3 linked regions of the Rhinolophus ferrumequinum genome follow. The protein of the gene in region 1 purifies or fractionates together with the protein of each later gene. This does not show direct contact. Links are inferred from orthologs where the notes say so. Each region holds a gene or a part of one and is shown on either strand. Other genes may lie near its edges.

Region 1 (3,749 bases):
TTGGGGATTTTATGAATATACCCCAAATTACATAACATTGGGGGATGGGAAAATGGTTTAAGGCTGGAAAAATACTATATGGGAAGTTAACAAGGACAATTTTTAAAATATATTACAGAGTAATACCTCAACGAGAAATATAATTAAAAAAGAGTCAACACCATCTCCAGACGTTGATTTCTCAAATGTCACCAGACTACCCATTCTGCTAAAAAGTACTTTTCAGTACATGCAGCACCCAGAGTATCAAGTTTGCAAATCCCTACCTTTTGCAGATATCTGTACTGCTTTACTGCTGCATGTAAGCACTGAAATGCACATTCCAAATTAATTAGAATTAGTATTTTACTTAGAGTCCATTTTAAGTTTTTTTGAAAGATATCTCCGTAAATCTAAGAAAAATGTTGATATACACTTCCTTTCCAATATCCAGAATACTAAAGTAGTTATAAATATGGCTTCCCTCCCACCCCGTAGGTAACTTATTTCAGCTTTATGAATGGTTTCATTTTTTACTGCTCATATAGTTCTAAACATATCCTCCTACCTAATTTGGGGGGAAAAAACAATTATTTTAATTGTTAAACAGCAGCTAACCAAACTAACAGCGATGTTCAAGTAAAGCTACTTTGTTTATAATAAAATCTAAAGATTATATAATAAGCTCTGGTATTGTCTTTCCAGCAATTTTCTATAGTGTCAAAGGCAACAGCGACAACATCCATTTTTACAAGAGGAAAACAAGGACTTAATTAAATATATTTTTCTCCTCAACTAAGAATTGCCTTCTCTTTTGTCAATATTACAAGACATTCATCTACTGACAAAGGAAAAATGAACACTTCACTTGCCTGTTTAAGAAACTAAATTGGGAGCATTACCAGTCATAGACTTAATTATTTCTAGGGAAGAATCTTTAAAGCAAAGAGCCTATTTAAAGTTCACTGCCAGCTGCTAAATTTGGGGGGGAACGGCCTGAACAAGATAACCCCTGTGTGTCACTGGCCTTTTTCCCCACCACCCACCCTACACCAACCCCCATTGTTCTATGTAAAACCCACAGCTAATGGTATCTAAATAGCAATTGCTACATTTATGTTGCAGATGATCACAGAGGAACTCTTCAGAACCGGATTTACCGGCTGCTCTCTTCCCCCAAATAAAATCCAAATTTGATTTAAAAAAAAAAATCAATCACAAACTGGTGGAGGAAAGGATCACAGCTTCCCTTCCAGACTTATGGATGTCACTCCAGAAGCGGGTGAGGAAATCCCCAGGTTACCATAATAAATCGACACCTCCCCCCCCCAAATCATTTAAACTGACGTTTTATAACGAATTTATTTTTTAAAATCTGGTACCGAAACCCTTGAAAAGTATACAGCCCGTGGGGTAGAGGCTGCTTTTCCCTATGAGCCACCAAAGTAGAACAGAGGCAGCAGCACGCAGCATTGCGTGCGGGTTTGGATCCTTCGTCCACCACTTCCTCTCCGAACCAGGCTGGCGGGGACAGATGCGGGTGTCTAGGAAGTGGGAGCCCCGCACTCCAGCGCTCCGCTCTCCCTGCCGGCTACCTGCCTGGGCCTGCGGGAGCGCCGCCCAGCGCGGACACCGGCACAGACACAAACACTCACCCATCTTTCCTCTTGGCTTTGTAGACGTGACCATAAGTGCCTCGGCCAACTTTGCAGCCCTCGTATTCAAACAGGTCCTCGACCCGCTCCCGCTCGCTGCTCAGCTTCACTTTAAAGTCATAGTCCATTGTCACAGCCTCCGAGGCCGGGGAGCTGGGTCAGGGGGCCGGGGCACAGGGGTGGGGACCCGGGAAGCACCGGCAGCCGCAGCCCCCGGGAACCCGCCCGCTCTACACCCGGCGGCCGCAGCACCAGCCCGACCGATGCGGCAAGAGCAGGAGGAGGCCCCGCGAGAGCGCCGGGGACATCCAGGGAGGCAGCGGGGCAGAGGCCGGCCGAGGGTGGGGTGGGACGGGGAGGTTCCCCCGGGCGCAGGAGAGCAGAGGGACGAGGGCTGGGGGTGGGGAGCGGGTGTCTCTGCCCTTGTCCCCGCGGACTCCCGGGGCGCCGGCTCTTCTGCTCTCTCCGGCCGCGCGTTCTGCTCCCGCTGCGGGGAGCGGCGGGGCGGCCACGGCGGGCTCTCGTCCTCTCAAACGCGCACTCACGCCTCACCCTCTCTCACACACACGCTCACACTCACTCACTCACTCACTCACTCTCCCATACACTCAAACAGAAAGGCAGCCCCGCACAACAGCCGGTACCTCCTCAGAGAGAGGAGGAGGGAGGGGAATCGCGGAACACGGCCGCGGCTGTCGCAAAAACGTCGCGAAGGCTCGGGCTACCTCCGGCCCTCCCTCCAGCCCGCTCCGCAGCGGTTGTCTGCCCCCGCCGGGGCCGGTACCCGCAGGACAGTGTGAAGGGAGCCGGGTAGCCACTGCCCAAAGCTGCCGCCAAACTCACCACGTGGACCGTCCCGACGGCGGCCAGGGCCCCAGACTACAATGCCCAGAATGCACTAGCCGCCGCTGTTGCCGCCCCTTCTACGACTCCACCCCATACAGTGGGTACATGTAGGAGCGTTGCATGATGGAATTAGTAGTCCAAAGTGAGATTAGTTTCAATCACTTAGGAAAAATTATTTTTAGCAGCGATATCGTTAGTGTCTGATTTGGGCCGTAAACTTAACCAAAGAAATTCACGTGTGAGGGAGGCTAGTTTGTATTGACATCACACTTTGTGCCACTTCTGAACTTCAGGTATTAAAGGACATCATCGTTATCAAAAAAAGTCTATATATTTGTAAACAGCTCATGGACTATCACTTGTGTATTCTTGCGGTTCACTATCTGATAAGGGTTGCACAATGATAACACTGACATACGTTACAAACATCAATAAGAGTGAATCAATGATGAGTGTCCATACTGATCCTATGCGCAAATAGTGTTACTCTTGGGGTGGATGACCACCCGATTGCTTCCCATCCATTCAGAGAGGACTTTATTTTGAGAATGACCTTCTGCACCCCTGCCGATAAGAACAGCAATTTTTAGCCATGATTACAGCAGTGGATATAAATCCATGGAAACTATTTGTTAATCATTTCAAGGTAGGAATGGTGTCAGCTGGAGGAGTCCCCATATCTTGACAACAATCCCTCACTTTGCCTTAACCCTCTTATTTAGATGTCTATTTTTTTATTTTAATTTTATATTTGTATTTATTTTACATTTTCCAGTTGCTACCGTTTCCACCAAAGCTCCCCACTCCCCAAAGCATATATAATCTCTCCCACTTTTAACCCCCTAACACTTTTTTCACCTTTCCATAGTATTCATTAAATTGATTTGTCTTTTACTCCTCTCTCTTGCTATATTACAAATTCCTATAGGAAGTCATATGTGCATCTTTCATAACACCTAGTATAATGCCTTGGATGCAAAGCACAGGAAAAATTTGTTGAATTAATGAGTAAGCATGTTTATGTCAAAAAAAACCATGTAAGATGATGACAATGATACCATTTTATGAAAAATCCTCAAAAGGGTTCTTCTCTTATATAAATTTCCTTGGAGAAAATAGTGACCTCACTACTGATGTAAATGATGTTGTTTTTACCTAGTACATTAAATCTTATTTAGTGTTTGGTGTACACTGACCAGTTAGGTGGATCTGGATTGGAATCTTGCTTTGTCATCTATCAGTAACATATCCTTAGAGCCTCATTTCCTT
Region 2 (3,749 bases), on another chromosome or scaffold:
CAAATTTAATTTCCTTGGGAGCAGGGGTTTTGTTGTATACAGAACCTCAGAGATCCACAGTAGAAGTCCAGGAAAATACTTGTTGCTAAGTTGTGTATACATGTGTTGATGTGTAACTACGTTTGCATTTGACTGAGTAACAGCGACTGTCACGGCAGGCGTTGATGCCTGTGTGACTGGGCTCATGCAAGCACGTGTGTGCCTGTGAGTGACAGGGTCTTTTGTAATGTGCGGCGGTGTGCAATTGCTCTGTGTTCATGTATGCATGCGATAGTGACTTTTTCTGTGTGGGTGACAGCGACTCCTCCTTGCCCCTGTGTGTGACAGCGTCTCCGTGTGACCCTGTGCGTAGGTATGTGCATGGGTCGGTCTCCCGTGGGTGTGTCCCATCCCTCTGAGCTCCCCAGTGCAGCAGCAGCCTGCCACTTCCCTTGTTCCCATGTGGGTGTGTCCAGTAGCTCCTGTCCTTGAGTACGCCTGGGTGTCCCTGGGTGTGCATGTGGCTGTCTATGTGGGCATATCTTGGTGTCTGCATGTCACATTTGCTTCCCTTCTCATCTTGGACAACAGTCCCCTTCATCCCTTCCCCCTCCTGGGGCCAGAGCCATCATTGAGGGGTGGGCTACCATCCCACTGGCTGCCCTCCTTCGACCTCCACCCCTGGAAACAGTGGCTCTCTCCATTGCCCCTATCACTGCCCCCCTCCCCAGGCCTTTCTTTCACACGGGACAAGGGAGGGCCCCAGACAGAGAAGGGGCACCAGAGGAGACACGTTGCAAGGGGAGGGGAAAAGGGGGGGTACACACAACACAGGTCCCTTCCTCCCTCTCTTCCCCAACCACCCTAGCTTGCAACTCTAATCATCTGGGGACCCTCAAATACACTCCCCCCCAACACACACACATACACACACACACACCTCCACCCCACCCCCAGCCGCGTTTTTTGCAATTAGGAGTGTTGCAACCAGAGAGCCATGCTCAACTGGGGAGGCGGGTGGAGGGGGGGGCTTCCCTCTCCCGGGACCCTTGCAAGCCCACTCCCCACGCCACACGTACTGCCCTCCGCAGCTGGAGGCAGCTTTGCAAAGGCCACTCGGCCTCGGCCTGGAAGGCTAGGGGTGGGGGCTGAGGGGCAGGCCTCCCGCGCACCGTAAACAAACCGCGGCGCGGCGCGGCGGGCGGGGGCGCTCGGCGGCCGGCAGCGGGGCCGGGCCCGGGAATGCGCAGCAGACGGGCCGGACAGAGGCCGGGCGGGCCCTCGAGGGGGAGGCCTGGACGCCATCTCCGCCGGCGAACCCTGGGGCCCACCGACCTCCTAGCAACACCTCCCTTCCTCAGGGCGTAAGTTGCAAGCTCCCGGGTTGTGACAGGGTCTCAGGGGCGTCGGGGGCAGGCTAAGGTTGGCGGCGGGTCCCCCCCGGACGCCCCCAGCCCGCCGGGAGCTGGCCAGAGAGCCCTGTGGCTTTGCATAATCAATCGTGAGGTATTTGCATATTAATACCCCCCTCGCTCCCTCCCCCTTACCTCGGCGTGGCGCGCTGGACAGGGCTGGAGAGCGACGCGGGGTCTCAGCGCCCCGTGCCGGGGGCGTCCATGGGGGGCCGGTGGGGCCCGGGCCGCCCGCCTCCTGCGCCCGGGTGTGAGTGCGAGTGAGCGCGGGGGGGCGGGGGGCGAGTGTGGCGGCCCCGCGGCTCCTCCGGCAGAGGCGGCGGCCGCTCTTGGCTCCTCCCTCCCCCGCCCCGCTCCGGCTGGGGCTCTTGCTCGGCGCGCCCGGCCGGCTCGCGGCTGCTCCCTGCAGGCCGCCTTGCCGCCGCCGACCCGCGCCCCCCGCCCCCCGCCGCGCCCCGGGACCCCGGCCAGCCAGCCGCCCGGCCGCCCCTCGGCCGCCTCTACACCCGCCCAGCTCGGACTCGCCCTCCCCACTCCAGGCGTCTCCGGCAGGAGTGATACTGGGTGACATATTTTGAAAAAGATGTCATTTAAAAAATAGTCTTCAGTTGCTGGAAGAATGGAAGGTTTTGGTGTTTGCACCATGGGGATGGAGAAGGGAGTATTGACGAGACGCCTGCACCTTATAAGTAGGGCGAAAGTCTAAATACCAAACCCTTGGAGGTTTCGAGTTTGTTTCTGAGTTCGGGTCTCTTCTCTGCCAGTAACTCACTGTGTGACCTTGAGCAAATCACCCCTGCTGTCGGGGGCAGAGCTTCCTCAACCTTAAAATACCAGGGTTCGGCAGGTGACCCCTGAGGTCCTTTTAACTTCAATCATCTATGTTTTAAATTCTTTTGGAGTTTTACTCGCCATTACTCGCCATTTACTCGCTTCCTTCCCCTCTCATTTCTAACATCATTACCTGATCCACTGCCTCCCCTTTCAAATGTCACCCTATTTCAATATAGGCTCTTTTTATTCACTGTCATCAGCCATTTCCTCAACAATCTGGTCCTCTTGCTCGGCTGGGGAGGGGGCAAGACTTGCTCTACCCCATCAACTCTCAGCTTCACAGAGGTGGTATTTCCTTCCATGTTTACCCCCACCAAAATCCAAATGGTATCAGGGCCAATTTAAGGAAGGCAGCCTGCATAAAAATGGATGCCCTTCCCCTACCATCCAGCTCCCACCCACCCCATTGCACACACACACACCTGCACTCATGGACATAAAACCATCCCAGTGACGCCAGAGCCCCTTTCATCTCGGGATCTCCGAGCGCCAGGCAGAGCTCTAATTACCCCAGCACCCCCTCTGGCCCCGCCGGTTCCCCTGCTGTCATTAGCCCAGTTTTACCAGCGGGGGCCACAGCCTTCCCACGGCTTTCAGGGCTGGGCCCTGTTTCCACAGTCTGCTGTTGGAGTGTGTGTGTGTGTGTGTGTGTGTGTGTGTGTGTGTGTGTGTATGTGAAGGGGGAGCTGTTCTACAAAAATCACTTGCTAAGTGTGGGGCTTCTGACCAACAGCCTATCTGAGTTGGGCTGCCCTGGTTCATCTCAGTCTCAGCCACCTGCATCCTCATCTCTGTTGCAGCCACTTCGCTTACAGGGGGCATTGGGGTCTACCGTGCATGGGGAGGGGATGGAGCATCTCTTGGGACCCGCTGGAATCATGGGGATGAGAAGCATCGCTGGGATGAAAGCCTGGGGCTGCAGAGTGGAGTGCTGGTGATGAGGGGTATGCCATGGGTGAAGGGAGCCTGCAGTGTGGAGTTGTGGCAGCTGCAGTAGGGAATGGAGGCTGCAGTATGCAGAGTCAGCATGCAGTCAGTGAACCTGTGGGTTCGGCCTGGGCTCACAGTGGACATGCAACAGCTGCAGCGTGGGGCAGAAGGCTGCAGCGTGCAGTGTGAGGTGCATTGAGGGTAGCTATCTGCCCTTGATACCACCTCCTGGGTGATCGGGTTTCGCTGAAACCCTGGGGAGCAAAGCTGTGGTGTGCAGCGTTCAGGGTGCACGCTCTACCCTGTGTGGAAATAGTCTCTTGAGATTGGGCAGCCCAAGGAGTCGGGGGAGAGAATCCCAAAGCATGGGATACATTTATGCTCTGCATCAATCAGGCAGAACCAGGAGGCAATGGAGAGGTCTAGCTGTCATCTAATTAGGGCAGGGTGACTGAGTCCCGAGGGAAGATGACAGTACTATGGTTTTGTCTCCCCTCCATTCTGGCTTCCCCTACCACATCTCTCTATGACGAAAGGCCTTAAAGATACTGGGTGAAGGAGACTTTTTGAAATCCTAGACCCAGAGCCATAGAA
Region 3 (3,749 bases), on another chromosome or scaffold:
AATCCAACGACAGAACAAATTTCTAGATTTCTGTGACTTTAAATCTGATACTGAAATGTACTGCCCATATCGAAGTCTGTCTTATAGGACATCCTCAAAAGAGCCTATGTCCCGTTGTTCTTCATTACCACTGTCCCTAACACATACTTCTGTTGTTGATCATATAATGTGGATTTACAAATATTACTTTCTTCTTGGCTCTCTCATTAGAATATAATATTCTTGCAGATAAGGGCCATACCTTAACTCATACAATGTTTAACAAATTATCAAACATTTTAAATCTTTTGGAAAGATGGTCAACATCAGAGAAGTGCAAAATAAAATTATATACTGAGATAAAATTTCTCATGTTTTAGATTGGCAAAGATCACAAAGTTCATTAACACTCTATTGTGAAGCTGTAGGGAATATATACTCTTAAATATTGCTAATGTTTAGGAGTATAAATTGGTGAGCCTTATGGAAAGCAACCAGGCAATTTCCATAAAAATTACAAATAGCCATACCTGCTCATTCAGCAATACTATTTCCATGAATTTATTCTCTGTCCCATGTGCAACATTAATCATTTTGCATTGTTTAAGGTGGAAAAGATAAGAAGCAACCTAAATGTCAGTCACTAGGGGACTGGTTAAAAAAAGGAAGGTGTAGCCATAAAACAAATATGCTGGAAGCAAGGAAGGAAGTCAGAAATTTTAATTTTTAGTGGATTGTTGTAGAATTACTTTCAGAATTAATTAATTCTGGTATTAAGGGTGAAAAAAAGCAAGGTGCTAATGAACAGTGTACATAATATATGACCATTCTATAAAAACGATTCTATATGCATAAAATACTTCTAGAAGGAAATACAAACTAAGAATCCTGGCTACAGATGGAAAAAAGAAAAGGTAATTAAACTAAAGAGATGAAAGACAGACTATTAATTGGGTCCACCTTTTTGTACCTTTTGCATTACAACACTTTAAAAAAAGAATGTTTTATCATTACGTGATCCATGTCTGAGTAGCAAGTCTTACCACCAATGGTTTAACTGCAAACATTTTCCTACCTATAATGAACCATAAAAAGACAATGAAGTCTTTAAGGATCACACATTTTGTCTTTTTCAGGGATATATTTTCTGGTGACTGTTCTTTGTTATTAAGTTTTACTGTTCCTTTCCTCTTTTTTATTATAATATCTTTATATCCTTATTATAAAATAGGATCCTTATTGTGGCATTTCTGTATCTTTACTATAGTATCTCTATATCAATACTGTGCCAGTTCCTTTGTTGAGAAAATGAAATTTTTATCCTTTATAATCCCTAACACAGCTGTTTTCAAGTACACCAAATAAATGAGAATAGGATAAAAATGGTTTTATGTAATCTAACATGGGAGATTTTTAAAGACATCTCACACTGTACTGTCATCAACTTGAATTCTCAATACAGGTTCCCCACTGGAATACAAATTGAAACAAATGGAAACCAGAATAGACATAAAAGATGACGACAATTTTATCTCCCCTTTTCCAACAGCAACATCAAAGTAAGTGTAAAAAAAAGAAGGGGTCAAAAATTATTAGCTGAATGTATTAAAAAAGCAGTACTCACCTGGGAAAGACCACTCCAAAACTGTCTGAAGGCTCCCAAACAGCTAATTAGTTTTGTTTTTTCATCTTCAGGGGTGTCCATAAACATGCTATAAACAAAAATCACGTTATTTGCCACTAGTTTTAAAAAGGTAATTCAACATAACCAGAACTGTGGATCTTATAAATCTCCAAGACAAAACTGAGTAAAATCTTAACAAAGATACACCCACGTAAAAACACAAAAATCTGCTCTGCATATACTCACCCAGGGAAAGCCTCTTCTATAATTTCCGTTTTCTGCAACAAAACAAAACAAAACGATATGAATAAAAAATTAAAAACTAAAAAAAAGGAGGGGCCTCCCCGAGCAAAACATTGGTGTAACATAGGGCAAGTCACCTTAACCACCTACACGCAGAAACTAACAATGCCTGCCTGACCTGTCACAATGCCTATTGTGGATTTCAAGGAGGCTTTGAATTTGACAGCAGTTTGAGAATCGCTAAACCTCTGCGCACATACACAGTGTCACAACCAAGGAGAGGTGGGGAGAAGTTGGCCGAGCCGGATTCTTTAATCCGATGCCCCCAAGACTCCCCCTCGCCCGGCCGTAGTCCTGAATCCCTGACCCTTTCACTCACCACCACCTCCTCAAAAATGCTCTGCAGTTGCGTCTCCATCTGGACCATCACCCCCGCCTTCCTTGGGCGCCCGGCGCGCGGCCTGCGATCAGGCCCGAGCTCCGGGGAATAGAAAGAGGGGCGGAGACGCCCTCAGGAAATCGCAGGTCGAACCGATCGCTTTCCACCCCAAACGCTCAAATGAAAGAGTCCCCTCTAAGGTCCAGCAAACAACCGAGGCCTGCAAGGAAGCACCGGGAAGCTCATGGTGCTTTCCGATTACAAAACCCCCGGAAACCAGGGACCTAGCTAGATGGTTCCGAGAGTCAGAAGAGAGCGCCCCCAAGCGGCGCCTCGAGCATAAGTCACGTCGAGGCGTTGTCCGCTGCAGGCCGCCACCTCCTGGCAGGAGCGGGTGTTGCTTCCTCCTCGGGTCTAAAGCTTTTGCATGTTGGAAAGGAGAAAAGCTTGGATGCCAGGGGCTGCAGTCTGCAGGCAATGTTTCTGCTGCACCCTGCACCCTGGGTCAAACTGATGATGGCTGCTGACTTTCTGTCCTGCAGCTCCATCAGCAGCCTGGAGCCAGGAGTTGAAACAATACTTTTCTTGACCACAGATATCATATCTTCTCAACGATGGTAACCTCAGTGCTGGACACATAGCAGGTTTTCAATGAATGTTAAAAAAAAGAATGCATCATTATTGATTTTTAATTGGAATAACAATATTTACCATTTTTAGTTATCATAATCTAAAAATAATATTTATCAATTACTGAATACCTGTAGCCTATTTGATGGGGATGGGGTGGAGAAGGGTGGCAAAGAGGAAGGCTGATCCACTGGTGTGGTCAGAGCAGATACCTAAGTGCTCTGACTGCTGTGCCTCCCCACACCCCATGGCTTTATTCCTTCAAGCGGGAAACCTTGTCCTTCTTCAGCCTGATTTAGGGGTCTCTTCTTTATCCTCATAAAACACCTTTGTGCATAACTAGTAGAGTACTTCATTTATGGAGTATTTATCCACCATTCACTCAGTGCTAGAAACAGTGTTAGGTGTTTAATGAACTATTGCAGTAATCAATTTTGCAGAATGTCCAAGCTAGGATGACAGACCTAGAATTATTAAAACCCAAGTTCCCTAACAATCTATTGTTCTTTTTTCTATATTAAGCAAATTATCTTATAGTGTATTACCTTTAATCACATACTCTTCTAAAATGGTTTTCATCTACTATCAAGCAGATTTTCATGCTTCCACTCTGTTTCCAAATTAGTGTATTCTCTGCAAATGCCAGCTAATCTTAATATGGGCCAGGGCTTGTACAGTTAACAAGGTAAAATAGCCAGGAAAGAATTATGTTTTGGCCATAACTAAATACAAATTATTTTTTATATCATTCTTGTTGATGTTCCATTCATTGAATAAAAATTGACCATCTATTTCTAGATCTTCTTAATGTGTTTCCCCCAATATTCATTTTTAAAATCGATGTATAATTTATATACAACGAAATACATAAATTTTAAATGTATAGATCCATGA

The links.
Region 2: the proteins of CDK8 (region 1) and MED24 purify together in Homo sapiens (affinity purification with mass spectrometry; 13 studies listed by BioGRID and IntAct, counting the BioPlex papers as one, with this or other methods). This does not show direct contact. The link is inferred for Rhinolophus ferrumequinum from reciprocal best matches to the Homo sapiens genes CDK8 and MED24.
Region 3: the proteins of CDK8 (region 1) and MED23 purify together in Homo sapiens (affinity purification with mass spectrometry; 10 studies listed by BioGRID and IntAct, counting the BioPlex papers as one, with this or other methods). This does not show direct contact. The link is inferred for Rhinolophus ferrumequinum from reciprocal best matches to the Homo sapiens genes CDK8 and MED23.

Annotation. Positions count from the first base shown.
Region 1 is NC_046287.1:98,622,278-98,626,026, reverse strand, and holds the start of CDK8 (cyclin-dependent kinase 8), read right to left. Parts: upstream 2,288-3,749; 5' UTR 1,763-2,287; coding exon 1,635-1,762; intron 1-1,634.
Region 2 is NC_046304.1:36,566,401-36,570,149, reverse strand, and holds the start of MED24 (mediator of RNA polymerase II transcription subunit 24), read left to right. Parts: upstream 1-1,186; 5' UTR 1,187-1,343; intron 1,344-1,526; exon of another isoform or gene 1,527-1,728; intron 1,729-3,749. UniProt on the Homo sapiens protein: Component of the Mediator complex, a coactivator involved in the regulated transcription of nearly all RNA polymerase II-dependent genes.
Region 3 is NC_046286.1:78,969,188-78,972,936, forward strand, and holds the start of MED23 (mediator of RNA polymerase II transcription subunit 23), read right to left. Parts: upstream 2,507-3,749; 5' UTR 2,274-2,506; coding exon 2,226-2,273; intron 1,882-2,225; coding exon 1,850-1,881; intron 1,692-1,849; coding exon 1,604-1,691; intron 1-1,603. UniProt on the Homo sapiens protein: Required for transcriptional activation subsequent to the assembly of the pre-initiation complex. Component of the Mediator complex, a coactivator involved in the regulated transcription of nearly all RNA polymerase II-dependent genes.